2 linked regions of the Macaca fascicularis genome follow. The protein of the gene in region 1 interacts with the protein of each later gene in a biochemical or structural test. Links are inferred from orthologs where the notes say so. Each region holds a gene or a part of one and is shown on either strand. Other genes may lie near its edges.

Region 1 (3,654 bases):
TATAATTCAGTATGAGAGAGAGTATGTTAAAGTCAGCAAAATATATCCTGCTTTCCATTAGATATGGAAACCATGTCAGTCTGAATTTGAAGATTTTAGAAGGCACACCTAGATTGTTCTGCTCAGCCTGTTACCATGTAATGTTGCAAATTTTCTTTAGTTATTAGAAATTGACTACTAAATTTCATCTACACATACATACATTTTAGTTTACAAAGTTGGAATTATCTCTAATTTTTATTGAGCATTTTGTATATGCAGGCACTGTACTAGGCAAAGTACTTCTGAAGAAATGTTGACTCTTCATTAAAGTTGGTATATTTTAATTATGGTAGATAAGAACTGGTCTGGCTGAAGCTGATTTCCAAGCTACTAGAATGTAAGTGATCTTCACTTATCTGGGAAATAGTCCCTCTAGACTGAACTAAAGCTCACTCTGATAGTTTCTTTCCATCATTGAAAGTACAAATACAGTCTGGAAATTACTGAGAATTACTGTTTTCTTCTGTTGGCCATTGACATCACATTCATTCATTCACTCAGCAAATATTTATTAAGCGCATACTATGTGCTAGGCAGTGTTCCTAGGCCCTGAGGATACAACAGTGAACAAAGTCATGGCCCTCTGGGATCACTTATTTGAAGGTTGGGGGTAGGAATATATAACATGTATAGATAGTATAATATATTATATGTATAGATAGTTTAATATGTAATATGTGAGATGGTGATAAGTACTAACAAGAAAGTAAAGTAGAGAGTGCCGTTATCTAAGAAATCTAAGAAATGCTGGACATTTGGGGGTGGGGGGTTGTATTTTATTTTTAAAAGATGGCCAGGGAAGGCCTCACTGAGAAGGTGGCATTTGTATAAAGACCCAAAGGAAGTCAGGAATAGGAGGAAGAGAGAAACACCGCCTATTTATCTTGTTTCTTTAATACAGTAAGTTAGCTACTCGTGTTGCCCAAGCTATCAAAATTGGATTAATTTCTAAAGAACCCTCAACAGATAATTAAATATCTACCATTTTATGAGTCATGTAAGTGTAGGTGGCAGGGGCTGGGAGAGCAGGGAGATGGGAAAATATAGTAGTGGTGTCCTGCTATTTAAAAAACAAACCCTTTTCAGAGAGTCCCTTATTCTCATTATCCTCAAGACAGGAGATTGGATTGTTTTCCCTACCAACCTGCCTCCTTCTGTATCTTACAATGAAATCTTCAGCCATAACTGGGTTGCTGGCACTTCCTATGAAATAACTCTCAGAATGCTTAATTTGACTTCCTATAGGTTGAGTAGAAATGGGCTGAGAGGCAGGGAGCCCTAACATAATATGGGGAGACAAAGAGGACTATAAAACAAGAAGGTAAATGGTGTGAGCTCAAGTGTCTTGGGTAATGCTAGTTTCTTTCCAGTTTGAACATCCCTTATTGCTGGTTTTCTGAAGTCTTCTGATGTCCCTGCTCTGCCTGTAGTTTGCTGAGAATGAGGCTTCTGCATTGTCAGATCCCAGTTTTACCTAAGCATAGAGCTTTGACTTTTCTAACTAATTCTTGAATTTTTTGATACTTGGGTCATTAGACTCTGACATATTACCTTATAGAATGAATTCAGCAAAGAAATTATAATTCATGATATTAATTTTCATTCTTTGCCCTCAGCATATGTGAGCGGGTAACTCCCCGGCTATCCCATGCCAACTCAGCAGTGGTGCTTTCAGCAGTAAAAGTCCTAATGAAGTTTCTAGAATTGTTACCTAAGGATTCTGACTACTACAATATGCTGCTGAAGAAATTAGCCCCTCCACTTGTCACTTTGCTGTCTGGGGAGCCAGAAGTGCAGTATGTCGCCCTGAGGAACATCAACTTAATTGTCCAGAAAAGGTTGGAAAATAGTGAAGTGTTGATTAAAGTCTTTGTGATTTTGCATTAAGCTTAATAATGTTAATGTTAATTAGGCTAGTGTTAATCTCTTTTTAATATATGGAAATGAAAATGTTATATGGCAGAACAACTTGCTTGCCTAGCACCAGGAGGCTAACAGTTGATATCACAGTATTTCTATAATAAATGCCATGTGTTGCTGCACAGTCCAGTTTGTTTTCTGAAGGGTCTCTTTCTGATACACTGTCTAGTGCCTGGTTGATATGGTTCACGTTGTAGTTTAGAGCCAGATTGTTGTTCTTTTAGCAGTACTTCATGGCAACGTGTGCCCTGATGCTTAAAAAGGATAAAAATAATCTGCCAAGTGGAACTGATAAGAATAGAGGCATATAGAGGAAGTTTATGCATTTTTTTTTTTTTCCTGAGTGGAGCGAGAGGAGAGCAGAGAGGCACAGATTAGGTATTAATACAGTCTCAGAAGGGTGTATCAGTATATGCCTTCACCTTCCTTTCTTCTGTTTCTGTGTACCCTAGGCCTGAAATCTTGAAGCAGGAAATCAAAGTCTTCTTTGTGAAGTACAATGATCCCATCTATGTTAAACTAGAGAAGTTGGACATCATGATTCGTTTGGCATCTCAAGCCAACATTGCTCAGGTCAGACTTTATGCAGACTCAAGTTGATAATGATTTAGCTCTTAAGGTCTGGCCTTTAAAGAAGCTAGGCTGTGAGATTGCTATTTGAGAATCCTTAATGATTAACCACTTCCTCCATTTAACAGGTTCTGGCAGAACTGAAGGAATATGCCACAGAGGTAGATGTTGACTTTGTTCGAAAAGCTGTGCGGGCCATTGGACGGTGTGCCATCAAGGTGGAGGCAAGTGTCTGATGGTAGTTAGGATCATGTATTGGGGATTCTGAGAGTTCTCTTCACTTTTTTCTTTAAAATAATTTTTAAATTTATCAAACTAATAAAGCACACCATTTAAATGTTAAATAATTTTTGATGGAAAGCAGCTGTCTCTGGTCCCTCCCTTCCCTACCTAGACTCTCTTCTCAGAGGGAATAATTTTTTTTTTTTTTTTTTTTTTTTTTGAGACGGAGTCTCGCTGTGTCGCCCAGGCTGGAGTGCAGTGGTGCGATCTCGGCTCACTGCAAGCTCCGCCTCCCGGGTTCACGCCATTCTCCTGCCTCAGCCTCCCAAGTAGCTGGAACTAGAGGCGCCCACCACTACGCCTGGCTAATTTTTTGTATTTTTAGTAGAGACAGGGTTTCACTATATTAGCCAGGATGGTCTTGATCTCCTGACCTCGTGATCCGCCCGTCTCAGCCTCCCAAAGTGCTGGGATTACAGGCCTGAGCCACCATGCCCAGCCTAACCAGTACTTTATAGCAACAAAAGGAGGCAGATGTGTGTCAGAGGATCTTCTATGAAATACCTGCTACTAATTGGCCTTCTTTGTTTTTTTCAATTTAGTACTGCTTTATGTAGTTTCTGTTGATAAATCATTTGGTAGACTGGCTGTTACAGCAAGAAGTTAGCTGATCCTGGATTCTATTCCTGGTTCTGCTAGCTCACTTGATTCAGATGTTTAATATGTTTGTTTCTCTTCATTGGAGAAATGGGAAGGTCTTTTTATTGGATCTTGATACGTTACATCTTTTTTATTACCACTATCACCACACATCACAACTTGTTTTTCTTTTCTTTTTACATTAACATATCTTACTAGCCGTGTACTTAGTATTAATATAGATAATTTTCAGAGAGATTT
Region 2 (3,654 bases), on another chromosome or scaffold:
CTATATATCTAGCTTTTTTATACTGAAAAAGTATGCATATGATAATTATAAACACTAAACATTGGGAGGGAAATGGTGCCCATTTCAAATATATGGAGTTGTTTTCTTCATTAATGTTTTTGTGGCCTGTATAAGTTTTGGCTTGGTTTGGAAAACATTATTGAAATTATGGTCATTATTCTGTTGGTATTTCCTGAAGAGACATTCCAGGGATTTAAAAGATAGGAAAATATCCTAAAAATACACTAATTAGATTGTATTTTTGTTTGGGTCTCTTTTTAATGATCCCTAATTCTGAATTATTAAGATTTTTGGCACAAGGTAAAAAAAAAAGAGATGGTATTTAGTTACGAGAACTCACTTGAAGGCTTGGTTCCATCACTAACTGTGTTACTTAGGCAATTCCACACAGTGTGACTGGATCTTAGGTTTTACTTATAAACAATAAAGGCAAAATTCTTATGCTACTCTAGTAGATACTGTGAGGCACAAATGATAAGGGTCAAATTTACAAAGTAAAATTTGCTTTGTAAATTAAGTGCTATATGCATTACCCTTTATATTGTCAGAAAAGTTGGTTTATAACTATATTGGTAGGTAAGAACAAAAGGGACTGCTGCAAAGTTCAAAGTATTGTTCCATGTAAAATGAAATACGAATGCCCTACCATCAGAAAATGTAGTTTATAAAAATACAGATCTGCTCTCAAAAACCAGTTCAAAATCCATTTGGATTGTTTTTCTGGTACACACTGACACAGAATCATAATGAAATGTCAAGGAAGCACTAAATTTCAAATCCTTTAACTTATGTTTAATTAAACTTAATATATAAACTTCATTATCCCTCAACATCTTAGGTCCCTGGATCATCTAAGGTCCAAATGCAAAATAATCTATACAAGTTTTTACTGGGGAAAAAATATCCAAGGGAAGACTACTAAAAATACACAGGATCAACTTCAAAAATAAGTAGACACTGGCAACATGGAAAGTATGTCAATACTAATTGCAAGTAGTGTATAACCTAGCATCTTAAAAATAGTTACACAGCGCTTGCTTCGGCAGCACACATACTAAAACCAGAACAATACAGGGAAGATTAGCAAGCCCCCTGTGCAAGGATGACTTGCACATTTAAGACTTGTTCCACATTTCTGCACAGGGCATATTTAGGGCAGTGAAACTATTCTATAAGACACAGTAATGAGAAATATTATGCATTTGTCAAAACCCATAGAAGTGTACAATATAGGAAACCCCAATGTAAACTACAGACTTTAGTTAATAAGTGTATCAATACTGACTTTTCAATTGTCAACAAATGCACCATAGTAATGCAAGATGTTCACAGAACCTGTTATGAAGGGGAAATGGGCATATGGCAACTCTCTGTACTTTATGCACAATTTTTCTGTGAGCTTAAATTGCTCTAAAAACAAATGAAGTCTATTTTAAAAAAAAAAAAAAGGCCCAATTTCAGATAATGTTAATACCCCAAACAAAACCAACAAAAAACCAAAAACCCAGTGGCATAAATTTAGGACTCTTTCTAAGAGACCTGGGAGACAAAGTGTTAAAATACCTGCATCTTTCTGGAGAGTCTTCTCTATCTTTCCTCCGGAACTTGCTGATGGTGTCATCAATTGTGCTTCCAATTTTATCACTCAGCTCACCTAATTTATCACTGAATGGAAAAGCACTCTTGTTTTTATCCCACTCCTCATCCCATTTTGATTTGGGCTCAGGATCATATCTTTCACCTATATAGAGCATTAAAAAACAAGCAACTCTAAGGACATTAAATTCAAAAGGTATCTACAAGTCCTTATTTCTCAGGCTTTTCCTCATAATAAAATCATTTTCAAAGGAAAACAGAAAGCTCCCATAGTGCTGAATCAACACAATTACAGCAAGGCATAGCATGTAATGCCAGTCATTAAGTGGCAGGAATGCAGATTCAAAAGCTTTTGTTTATGAATACTTACACAACCTTAATGCACAGCACGGCATATCAGGAAATTCTTAAAGGCTACTGAAAGGAGCAGTGGAAAACACAAAACCAACACAAGCTATATAAGCAAAAGAGAAATGAAAATCTTTCTGTTTTTACAAAAGCCACTTAATATGTTATATTTTATTCCTGTCCCTTAATGGTTTCCCAATTTTCAGAAAAGTATTGGATAGCAACAGTGTCTTAAAAAATACAATCTGAGGGAACTCCACTCTGAATGCCACATGTCCCAGTAAGCTAAACGGTCTCAATAACTGTCATTCCTCAGTATCAAACTAAAATAATAGTTCAATGAATTTTCAAAGGATGGGAAAGCATTCCGTCATTACCGTACAAAGAAAGGATTACTCTAACTACCAAAAACTACACACGCTAGAATCAGGAAGTATGCTCAAACAGTAGTTCAGAACAGTGTCAACCAATTCAAACATCCATTCCAAACATATGCAGAGACTGGCGAAACCTAGAGCCTCTGTGTGAATTTGCGAATGCAGAGAATAGATCCTGGCAGTAAACAAAAAACCCAAAATGTCAAGATTTGTTTTAGTCCTTGCCCTTAGGGCCCTGAAGGAGACATAGGAATTACGGACACAAAATGAAATTCTTTTATTTCCATGTCCAAATTCAACTTAAGAAGCAAGAGTAGAAGGTACAGAGAGCACGCGAGGTTTTTTAAAAAAAGAAAACATTCAAAATTAAGGCAGGTTGGAAGAAAAGAAGGACAATGAGGAACAACAAAATAACTGAAAAGTGGCTAATGAAGCTTTTGTGTTGAACTTTTGCTTATAGGATCTAAAAGGATACGATACACAGCCTTTGGAGATTGAACAAAATCATTCTGCTGAATTGCCTGCTAAAATTGCAAGGCTAAAATTTTCTGTAAGTGTTTAAGGATTTTAACATATTTACTGAATCTGGAAGTGACCACCAACTTAAAGAAAAAGAAAATGAAGTTTTCTAGACAAAATTTAAAACAGGATGATTTTTTAAAAATAAGTGATTTTCCAACCATGTGTATGTACATTTCAACAACAGTGTGATGAACTAGACTTTGGAAAGAAACACATTTGCGCAAAAAATGGAAGTGGATGAAAACCAAACTGATTAGCATGGTCAGTATCATACTGAATTAGTGCTAAAGATACTGGATACTGGCAAGACATTATCTAATGTCAGAATGAGAAAACACAAAACTGGCCGGACATGGTGGCTCACGCCTCTAATCCCAGCACTTTGGGAGGCTGAGGTGGGCGGATCACTTGAAGTCAGGAGTTTGAGACCAGCCTGGCTGACATGGCGAAACCCTGTCTCTACTAAAAATACAAAAATTGGCAAGGCATGGTGGCTCCCGCCTGTAGTCCCAGCTTCTCAGGAGGATGAGGCAGGAGAATCACTTGAACCTGGGAGGCGGAGGTTGCAGTGAGCTGAGATTGCACCACTGCACTCCAGCCTGGGTGACAGAGCGAGAAGAAAGGGAGGGAGGGAGGGAGGGAGGGAGGGAGGGAGGGAGGGAAGGAAGGAAGGAAGGAAGGAAGGAAGGAAGGAAGGAAGGACAGGAGGGAGGGAGGGAGGGAGAGAGAGAGAGAAAGAAAGAGAAGGAGAGAGAGAGGAAAGAAGGAAGGAAGGAAGGAAGGAAGGAAG

The links.
Region 2: the proteins of AP2B1 (region 1) and CLINT1 form a complex in vitro, tested with the Homo sapiens proteins (2 studies listed by BioGRID and IntAct, with this or other methods). The link is inferred for Macaca fascicularis from reciprocal best matches to the Homo sapiens genes AP2B1 and CLINT1.

Annotation. Positions count from the first base shown.
Region 1 is NC_088390.1:41,928,228-41,931,881, forward strand, and holds part of AP2B1 (AP-2 complex subunit beta), read left to right. Parts: intron 1-1,658; coding exon 1,659-1,880; intron 1,881-2,414; coding exon 2,415-2,535; intron 2,536-2,660; coding exon 2,661-2,756; intron 2,757-3,654. UniProt on the Homo sapiens protein: Component of the adaptor protein complex 2 (AP-2). Adaptor protein complexes function in protein transport via transport vesicles in different membrane traffic pathways.
Region 2 is NC_088380.1:164,616,663-164,620,316, forward strand, and holds part of CLINT1 (clathrin interactor 1), read right to left. Parts: intron 1,763-3,654; coding exon 1,585-1,762; intron 1,159-1,584; exon of another isoform or gene 1,052-1,158; intron 1-1,051. UniProt on the Homo sapiens protein: Binds to membranes enriched in phosphatidylinositol 4,5-bisphosphate (PtdIns(4,5)P2). May have a role in transport via clathrin-coated vesicles from the trans-Golgi network to endosomes. Stimulates clathrin assembly.